Caenorhabditis elegans: one gene and its partner. The protein of the gene in region 1 interacts with the protein of each later gene in a pairwise test. Each region holds a gene or a part of one and is shown on either strand. Other genes may lie near its edges.

Region 1 (3,542 bases):
ACCGTCCCAAAATAAATCACTATTTATTTTATCTTATTTTCATATTCTCAATGCAATAGCAATTCGTAGTAAAAAAATGCAATAGCAATTCGTAGTAAAAAAAAACGTAGTAAAATACAAAATCGCTGTATTCATGCGTAAAATTAGATAAAAATTGGTTTTATTCATGAGTGCTTCAGTATTGTTATTTTATAAAACCGCGTTTAACATTTTCCTGTTTCTTGTAGTTTAAGATATCACAATTTCATGCAACATGTTCTTCTGATAGAACCACAAAACAAAACAATTTCGAATCTCGGATTACAGACAAATCTATCGCCGGATATATTTTTTATTTTGGCATTTTAGACAGACCTCGGCGCTCCCAGAGTTGCAGTTAGTTCTGTACTGCCAATCCTCAATAATCCATAATAATCCAAAAAAGTGAATGTTGTCTTATCACAACATTTGGGACTAGCGAGCGCAAAAAAAAAACACGCAGAACAAGGTCAGCTGTTAAGAGAATCGGCACAAACTGTTAATTATTTATTGTTTCTCAAATTCTAGTCAACACAATACATTTTATTTTCTTGAAATTATCGGGTTTCCTTCCAATCGAACTCGGAACCTCAGGTTCTCCATATTTGGGTTGGTTTTTTGTAGATTATCAATCCATCGAATCGCTGTTGCATTATCATCTTTATACATAGCACCCATTGCGAAAATCGTTTCGTGGTCTTGTTCGTGGATCGATCTGAAAATTAAAATTTTATATCAAATCTAAAATTTGAACTGTAAACCTACCTTTTAGCTTCTCCTCTTTGCTTCTGCCAGTCCGCGTACCAATTTGTATAATCTTCGTCCATATCTTCGTTTTTGAACTCGTTTAAAGGTTCCAGCTTCGTATTTCCAGTTAATGTGATAAATGGAATAACTCTGTCTTGTAGATAGACTTTTGCAGCATCCACGAAGACTTCATCACCTTTTCGCAATTCAGAAATTAATATCTGTTGCATTGGGCTCTGTGACGTGGCTAGCCATTTTTGTTGTGGATCTGATGAATCTGACAGTTTTAGAAGCGAAATAGAGGACGCAGCGTCTCGGCTCATCATTTTCAGCGCGATTCCGGCTAACTCGGAGGGTGATAGAGACTTCCCTTCCACGTGGCGCCTGTCCAGATATTTATTCGAATGTTTCAGCTTTGGCATCCAATAGAGCATACGCTTCACCTTTTTCGTTGCAAAATTCCACTCTCCGAATGCGTTGACCACGATATCATGGATCTCCTTATCCGGTTGAACACCTCAACTATTTTTGATAATTTATGAATAGTAAACGACTTTGTACTTACCATGCCACTCCATTTCATCTAGAACCTTCACTGCACAATTTTGTTGTTGAGGGTAATGCAGGAAAACTTTTTGGAAAACAGTTTGTGGGATCATCTTTCCTTTTGGAAAAACTTCAAGGAGTCCTTTATAAGTATCGATATCCTTATGAACCCCATATTCTTTGACATATTTTAGAGCTGTGTTGATAAATTCGACATGCGTTCGACCTCGTTTTTCCTTGAACGTGGCTGAAAACATAGATTAATCGTTGAAACTAGACAGATATCCAAACCTATCGCTGCCATGAATGCATCTTTATCTCTTTTCTCCGGTTCTATAGCTTCGAATTGCTTTTCAACATGTACTAAACTCGTCTCTTGATTCGCTGCAGCAAAGCATCGTATTTGATTGCTGATAACCCGTCGTGAAACATGTGCAAGAGCCATTAAAGTCTGAATATGTACAAATAAATTAATATTATAACTTTATAGTTAAAATAAAACATTTAAAATCACATTTCTATATCTTTTTAACAAAAAAATTGCTTAAAAATCTAAGGAGTAAGTGCGCTCCACCGCTCCCCGTAAATCGACGGCGAGTGTATGAAGGATACGGTAATAGAACACGCAACAAAACTAGCACTGCCGCATACACTTTTGTGCGTTGAAATTCATTTTGGGTTTTCCTGATCCTATTTTTTAGCTTTTTTCCGCTTTTCTTTTTCTGATTTTTACAAAAATTTAACAGTTTTTTCATAGTTTTTAAATATTGCAATATGCACTCATATTTTTTCGGTAATTCCCATCTACCTTTCCATTTTAAAAGAAAATTGTAACGTTATCCTAAAATTGTTTTTCGCTATTATATCAGATTGTTCATTCCCCATTCCTTGCATCATATTTTTGTTTTTCAGGGTTAAAACATGCCAACCAAGGCTCTTGGAGAGACTCTTAATGAGTACGTCGTCGTCGGACGCAAAATCCCAACAGAGAAGGAGCCAGTGACTCCAATCTGGAAGATGCAAATCTTCGCCACCAACCACGTCATCGCCAAGTCTCGTTTCTGGTACTTCGTCTCTATGCTCCGTCGTGTGAAGAAGGCCAACGGAGAGATCCTTTCGATCAAGCAGGTTTGTGGAAAATAATAATAATAACCCATTTTACAATAAAATTTTCAGGTGTTCGAGAAGAACCCAGGAACCGTCAAGAACTACGGAGTCTGGCTCAAGTACGATTCCCGTACCGGACACCACAACATGTACCGTGAGTACCGTGACACCACCGTTGCCGGAGCCGTCACCCAGTGCTACCGTGACATGGGAGCTCGTCATCGTGCCCAAGCTGACCGCATCCACATCCTCAAGGTCCAAACCGTCAAGGCCGAAGACACCAAGCGTGCCGGAATCAAGATGTTCCACGACGCCAAGATCAGATTCCCACTCCCACATCGCGTCACCAAGAGAAAGAACCTCAGCGTCTTCACAACCGCTCGCCAAAACACCCACTTCGCCTAAGTTGCGGATTATTGTTATTTGTTACAATAAATTGTTGCAAACAAATTTTTTTCTTAATTTTTCATTTTAAATTTGTGTGGTTTGAATCCTGTTTGTTCAGCTTGTTATTTGTTTACTGTTTTTATCTCGTGCGCAGCACTTGTTGATGTTATTAGATGATCATTGCAATGATCCATAAGGCATCGGACCGCCCAGCTGACTTGTGTGACTGGTAAATTTTGTCAATATTTTCAAATTTGTTCTTTTGCAATATAGATATCTGCTCTTCTATATTCAGTTCTTACGCTACTAGATCTGTAACTACATTCCTTAAAGTTCAATATCACTATTTCGATAAGGTAAATTAATTCTTAATAATTGAGATAAGTTGATAAAAATCTGGATAACTGTAGATTTTGTAAGTTGTAAGCGTTAGAAATGCGGTAAATCTCGTAGAAACTTTATTTTTTGTATTTTAAGGGCAAAACCTTTCAGATCATAGATAAAAAGTTCAACAGCGTCATTTTAGTATGTCCTCGCTGAATGATATTTCACCCAGACTCCCGAGAGCGACCGCCCGATTGTTCTATGGCCTTTCTGTGTCTCTGCGTCTCCTCGCCGCCCGAGAGATGGCACAACCCCCGTTTCTTTCTCGCTATTGCATCACGGGCGGTTCCCCAAGTGCTGCTGTGGCGGTTTCTTCCTGCTAGACTCTTTTAGTATATATTTCACTAATTTCT
Region 2 (7,069 bases), on another chromosome or scaffold:
ATCATCGTCAACATCATCGCGTTTTATTATGGGTTCATGTATTATTACACTTTCCTCGAAAAAAAATTTTGACGAACGTGTAATATGTTTCACCTTGTCTCATTTGTACCTCGTTCATTGTTACGGGTTTGAAGTTTTAAAACTCTGAATTTATATGAAGAATTTTAATTTAAAAAAAAACTTTGTTTCCTTTTTTGAATTTTTACAGACAAATTTTTGGCTTGAAAACTGAAAAACCCTGACTAAACTTACTATTTATGTGTTGGGTATCAACGTGTATTGACCCACGACGTGGCTAAGAAGATCGTACAACGTGAACTCTATGAACTAACTTATTTATTCCTTAGTTTAGTAATGTAATAAACTACTCGTCTTCTCCTCCTCGTCTCGCCTTCGAATACACAACATTATGAAAAGAGTTTTTCTTAAGATAAAAAATGTTCTAAAAAATCGATGGCCGAGTTTCCTATTTACGCGGCCACAAGACCAGTAAAAAAGTGTTAACACAAGTGCGAAAACTAGAACATTTATTTTCAAATTTCACCCGATTTCTACAAAAAATCAACAAAAAAGTCACAAAATTTAAAATATGAACATAATAATCAATATCCCGCTGGCGCTGACTCCTCCCCTTTTCGGAAATCACTGTTCGCATAGATTTGGCCGTCGGAAAGTCGTTCGGCGGCGGTGACAACTGTCAAATTGTTCACTGCCTTCATTACGTGACCACGATCGATCAGGGATTTCACGTAGGCTTTCGGGAAGTTTGGCTCGTACCACGTGTAATTTGGCTAAAAAATAAGGAAATTGGGAAAGGTTTTGATTTTATTGATTGAAAAATATTTCATGTGAAAGTCGAAAATTGATTGAAAATTAAATTCAGAAGTTTTTTTTCTGAAAATTATTGATTTTTATTTTTAAAAAATCAACTTTTTGACAATTATCGATTTTTCCAACAAAAAAAAAATCAAATTTCGCGTGTAATTCTCTACCTGTAACTGATTGTGCATCCTTGGAGCATCAACAGCTTGTTTAACATCTGCTTTCAGCCATAACGCATGCAGTGCAACTCCAGCAACACCCGAAATAATGGTGGATCCACCGGCTCCGCCGACCGCCATAAGCTCCGCCCCTTTTGTGTTAAAGATCACTAATGGACTTTGACTACTCATGGGGCGTTTTCCAGGGCGAATGAAATTGGCGGGAGACGGTGGGAAACCGAAGAAATTCGGATGACCGGGAGTGGAAAAGTCGTCCATTTCGTTATTCCAGAGAATTCCCGTCGATTCGGAGGATACTAGGGCACCCAGGCTGGAAGAATTTGAGATGGTGGAAGAGTTTTTTTGGCGGTGGCCTAGAAAATGTCTTCATATCCGAAAAAGTCAAAGTGATGGCCTAGAAATTTAAGTTTGTGGCCTATAAACTTGAACTGATGGCCTAAAAATTGAACGTCGTCCTAAAAATGTTTTTAACTGATGGCCTAGAATTGAAAGGTGATGGCCTCCAAATTTCAGGTGGGCGTATATAAACTTTGGTTGATGGTCTAGAAATTATACACGTGGCCCAGATTATGAAATCACTTCGGTATAAAATCCAGGTGGTAAACAATTTACTATTAAGACTGCCTAAAATCATCCCCTGGCCTAATTAGTTTAAAATTTTTGGTGACGACCTCGAACTTGTTCATTTTTATCAACTGCAGTTGCTTGTCGACTGAGGACTAACTTCTCACTTGCTGGCCGAGTTTTCGAAGTTCGGCCACCAAAAATTTCCTTTAAAAAAGCCAAACTCACTATAAGTTAATGGTAGACGTAACCGAAACTGCATTGCCGTCTGCATCGATAATCGATACATGAGTTGTTCCATGATCCTGCGGTGGTGCTTCAAACGATCCTCCATAGTAATCATCAGGATGCGTCGTGTCTGTGATCTTCGACCTAACCCAATCCGCCCACTCTTTTGACGTAATATTTTTGGCGATTTCCGTGGCGTTTGCCACGAATTGCGGGTCGCCAAGCCAGCTTCTAGCCGCATAACTAAATTTGCTAGATTCCAGAAAATGATGGTATAACGTTGCGATTTCGTTGAACGACTTCATGTTATATTCGAAGCCATCCATCACGTTAAGTATTGCCTGAGCCACCGCTGAGCCCGAGGGAGGCGGCGGGCCGCAGACTCCGCGCCCGTTTTTCAGCTTTGTGTAGATCACATTTTTTGAGTCGTGGACTATTGATTTGTAATTTTTAAAGTCCTGAAGCCGGATGATCCCACCGTTGGCTTCGAACTCTTTGGCGAGTTGCTCGGCGAGCCGACCTGTATAAAAGTCGGCGATGGGATCTGTGGAGTTTGCGAGTAGCCGGAATGTTTCTAGAAGGTTTTGGCGGGTTTTTATCTGCTCTCCTGGTTGGAAGACACGCTGAGTTTCGGGGTTGATGAAGTTTTTCATGGTGGGCTCCGCGCGGATTTGGTGCTCGTTTTGGTTGAGAGCTTTTGCAAGGGCATGGGACGTTGGGTAGCCTGGAATTTTTTAGGATGGCCTAGAAACATGAACCGATAACATAGTTACTTATTTTGTGACCTCGAAATTTTCATGATGGCTTAGAAATTTTTATGATGGCCTAGAATTTTTATGGTGACCTAGAAATTTTTTGATGGTCTAGAAATTTTTAGTAATGTAATAAACTACTCGTCTTCTCCTCCTGAAAAAATTTGGGCCCGTCTCCCTTCGTGGTGAGACCCATCGTGGCGAGACCCATCGTGGCGAGACCCATCGTGACGAGACCCATCGTGACGAGGCCTATCGTGGTGAGACCCATCGTGGCGAGACCCTCCGTTGAGAGACCCATCGTGATGAGACCCATCGTGGTGAGACACGCCGTGGTGAGACTTATTGTGATACCCATCTTAACGTACACAGTAATTGGAGAAACTTTTAAACTGATTTTTACAAAAAGTTCAACATTTAACTTACCAAGAGCTCAATATTCCGTTGCCTCGCTTTTTGTTGCCCTCAGGGATTATTGTTCTGTTGCCTCCATTTCCGTTACCCCTGTTGTGTTGCCTTCGAGCAGCGTTGAATCCGTTGCCCCCCCCCTTTTTCGTTGTCCCCGGGGAATATTAAATCCGTTGCCCCCGTTATCCGTTACCCCTAGGGATTGTTGGCCGGTCTAAAAACGGCCACCAGAAAAGTTTTTGAGCATCAAAAATGTTCTACGCCGTTAGGAGTTTTTTAGGCCAACAGAAATATTCTAGGCTCGCAGAAAAAGTGCCCACCTTCAGCCAACAAATCAATAGTTGGTTTCAACAACTGTCTCCACTCGACTTTTCCACTTCCGAATCTCTCGAATTCAGTCCGGAGGCCGTGAAGCTCTCCGGGCACCGCAATCGCCTTCCATCCGATTCTCGACTGATTCCATTTGTCACGGTACATTTCCTCTGTTGCGGCGAGCGGAGCAATCTCCCGAGCATCGATTACCGTACACTCTTTTGTCGTTCTGGAAGAATTTTAGAGGTTTCTAAGTCATTGAAAATATTTTTAGGCCACGGCAGAAGTTTAAAGGCCACACGCGCTTCTGGCTTTCCTCATATTTTGAAATGGAAGAGTTTGCCGAGTTAGCCCGTTTGGACTAGGCCACGACCGGGGTAAATTTACGGAGCGTCGTGTAGACGATTGTCAATGGAGCGCGAGAAAAACGCTTTGACGAAGGCCAGAAACCAGTGAGGCCACAATGTGATGTTTGCAAAAATGTTTTTAATGGCCTAGGAAAATCATTCTTTCTTCCAAAATTTTTCTTCTTTGTTTTCCTTTTCGATTATTGATTTTTAGTTGAAAAATCAATATTAATAATTATCTTTTTTTTTAATTATTGATGTTCCGCTCCAATTCGTGGCGAGACCAACAACTCACGCATTATAAATAGTCATAAAATGTCCGCCGCCAATTCCGGCCGAATGTGTATCCATTACACCGATACAGAAAAGTGCGGCGATTGCCGAATCCACCGCATTTCCGCCTTTCAGCAAAATATTCCGACCGATTTCTGAGCAAATTTCGTTGTCGGCGGCGACGGCGGCTTTCGAATATTTTCCGAGTGGAGAAAGTGATGGTCCAGGCCAACGGGGTAGGCGGGCATTGTTCTGGAAACCTTGCCGAGTTTTATTTTTATCGGCCACGTAGCAAATCGGCCAGCCATGAACCGACTGCGGACTAGTTTTCACCCTCGTGGCCTAGCTTTCTAACAAACCTGCATTAGTAAATGAAAATACAATGAAGCGAATGCGACCGTTGAGATTAACAACGTGAATACGAGAACCGTTAAGCCGACCGCCGCGACTAAAGTACGGATTTTCATGGGTTGCTCGGCCTCGATAAGCGGCTCAACTTCATCAAATGGTCCATATTCTGGCGGTAAATTATCATCGTCCGGAAACGTGTTATAGTATTGAACAGGAGGTGGGTTACTGCTGAAAAGTCGAGTTTTGCGCGTCAAATTTGATGTATTGAGTGGCATGATCACTATTATTACAAGACCGCGAAATTTTGAGAATGCGTATTGCACAACATTTTTGACGCGCAGAATATCTCGTAGCGAAAACTACAGTAACTCTTTAAATCACTACGGTAAAGCTTGTGTCGATTTACGGGGTTTCGGTTTTTTCATTTTTTTTGTGTTTTTTAAAAAACAATTTATCGACTAATGAATGATTTCCGTAAATCGACACAAACACTACAGTAGTCATTTAAAGAATTATTGTAGTTTTTGCTACGAGATATTTTGCGCGTCGAATATGTTGCGCAATACGCATTCTCAGAATTTTGTGTTGCCGTAATAATTCTGATTTAAAAATGGAATTTTCAAAAATCAGAGGTTTCCCAAAAATTTGAATATTCCACAAAAAAGATGAATCTGAAGAGTATTTTCAATTTTTTGAGAAAATAATCGATTTTCTGGATTAAAAAATTTGAATTTATAGATTTCTAGATTCTAAAATTTGAATTTGTGCAATTTCAAACAAAAATGTATCGATTTTTATCGACTTTTCATAAAATTTAATTTAATTTTCGAAATTCCGAAAATATTGCCCGTTTTTCATATACCAAAAAAGTTGTATCAATTTTTTCAAAAAATTAAATTTTCATCGATAGTTGTTTTCAAAGCATCATGATTTTTTTGAAAGAATTTGCAAATGTGAGAACTACAGTACTCCCTTAAAGGCGCACGCTTGTTTTTATTTTTAAAAAATTGGTCGTTTCGAGACCTGGTACCGTATTTTCGCATTTGGGTAATATTTCCAGCATTATAAATTTAAAAACAATGCACTTTTTAAATCTTGAATCCATATATATATTTTTTTCAGAAACTCATGCCGCCTCGTTTGGGTCTCGATTCGAATTTTTTTCACAAACGTATAATATTTTCTCGAAAAACCCGCGAATTTTTAACATTATCGATTTTTCTCTCACCTCGTCGATTGCCCTTCAGGAGTCATTATTCAGAATTGAGTATGAATTAAAAAATCATAGAAAAAGTCAAAGCGCTGTCAATTGGAAATTTAGGACGAGAATGTCAAAATTGCAACTTTTCACGATAACGGAATTCTATCGCAAAACTAGATAAGAGCTACAGTTTGCTGCGTGTAAGCGCGCTCCAATGACAAACGAGAAGAGAAGAGAAGAGGGGGTAACCGCCAATAGCTCTCTTTATCGAGGATAGTCTTCAAGTGACAGAAGAGATATTCTGTGGTGGGAGAGAGTTGGGTGGAAGGGGGAACAATGAGGACTACGGAAGAATGACTTTTAGATTTGGAGTATAGGAGAAAGTGGAGGTTTTGGCTGAAATTATTTTCAAAAACTTTAACTGTAACAACTAACGAGTAGATTTGAAAATGAGGATAATATTCAACACAACAGAAAAAAAGTCGATAGGTAACTAATAAAAATTAGAGAAAATGTGGCATCGGGGAGAAGTGGTGGAACAAAAGAAGAAACTGATGATGATGATAGGAGGATAGCCGCGAAACAAGCGATTAACAGTGAACAAGATTCATTTCGGTGAAGATGGAGAAGATAACAGCAAAAAAAAAAACACAACAAAAGTCCTTATTATTGCCCATTGAGAGTTTGTTGAAGGACACTGGTAAGGTGCTCGTCGATTCCATCTTGCTGCGCGAATTGTGGGAACGATGCGTAGATTTGCTTCAGGATTGTGACAATTCTTTGCTTGGTTTGGTTGCCGCTATCGTCGTCGTTGAAAGCATCGTTGGCGATTGAGAGCAAGCCTGAAAAATACAAATAAAAATAAAATAAGTTACGGATTTTTTTAGATTAGAACTTACAAACAAGGAAGATTCTCGGAAGATTCTGATTTTCTGGTCCAAAAAGTGCGGCGTCTTGTTTATCAAACAATTCGGCGAGACACGTGTAAATGTAGGGGCTTTCCTCGGTGTCTGAATATGTTGGCAACCAGCTCAGGAACATCTCGACGACCTGGAAATAATATGGAACTTTTTTCTTGAAAAACTGAATTCTAAAACCAACCTTTCCGTAGGCTTCAGCAGGAAGTGGCACATTGCCGATGATTTTGGCAAATGCAGAAATCGCGTTTTCCGTGGCAACAGTGCTCTCCTCGGTGGCTCGGGCGTCCTCTCGTTGAATCATGGCGGCCAGTGGCTCCAAACAGCTCAAAATCTCGTTTCGGTAGTCGCTGATCTGGTGGTAGTTGATGGCCATAACTCCGAAACCGTAGCTCGCTGCTTGTCTCACTTCAGGATACTCATCTCCCAACAACTTGTACATTATTGGAATAAGCTTCGGGAAGCGAGTTGGCATATGTCCGACACCGAACTCGATGGCGTCATCGAGAAGGCACATTCCCCATTGTCTCTCGAAGTATTGTTTGGATCCCTCGATGAGTTGAATGGCACAGTTGAACACGTTGATCATTCCCTCGAAGATAGTTCCCTTGAACTCCTTCATAAGAGAGTGAGTCAAATCAGAGATGGCTCCAAGGCATGAGGCCTCCAATTCCATGAAATAATCGAGCTCCTCCTTAGCTTCAGCATCATCGTC

The links. Proteins that work in one complex are often made in the same cells at the same time.
Region 2: the proteins of Y17G9B.5 (region 1) and C53D5.5 interact in a two-hybrid assay, tested with the Caenorhabditis elegans proteins (one large-scale study listed by BioGRID).

What each region holds. Positions count from the first base shown.
Region 1 is NC_003282.8:4,748,460-4,752,001, reverse strand, and holds Y17G9B.5 (Evolutionarily conserved signaling intermediate in Toll pathway, mitochondrial), read right to left. Parts: upstream 1,763-3,542; 5' UTR 1,757-1,762; coding exon 1,603-1,756; intron 1,559-1,602; coding exon 1,331-1,558; intron 1,283-1,330; coding exon 784-1,282; intron 734-783; coding exon 562-733; 3' UTR 511-561; downstream 1-510. Other genes in the region: rpl-18A (Large ribosomal subunit protein eL20), read left to right, coding at 2,233-2,439, 2,488-2,823.
Region 2 is NC_003279.8:305,298-312,366, forward strand, and holds C53D5.5 (Gamma-glutamyltranspeptidase 1), read right to left. Parts: upstream 5,494-7,069; 5' UTR 5,491-5,493; coding exon 5,465-5,490; intron 4,465-5,464; coding exon 4,245-4,464; intron 4,138-4,244; coding exon 3,908-4,137; intron 3,495-3,907; coding exon 3,274-3,494; intron 2,518-3,273; coding exon 1,794-2,517; intron 1,312-1,793; coding exon 993-1,311; intron 792-992; coding exon 603-791; 3' UTR 514-602; downstream 1-513. Other genes in the region: imb-3 (Importin N-terminal domain-containing protein), read right to left, coding at 6,104-6,279, 6,337-6,487, 6,539-7,069.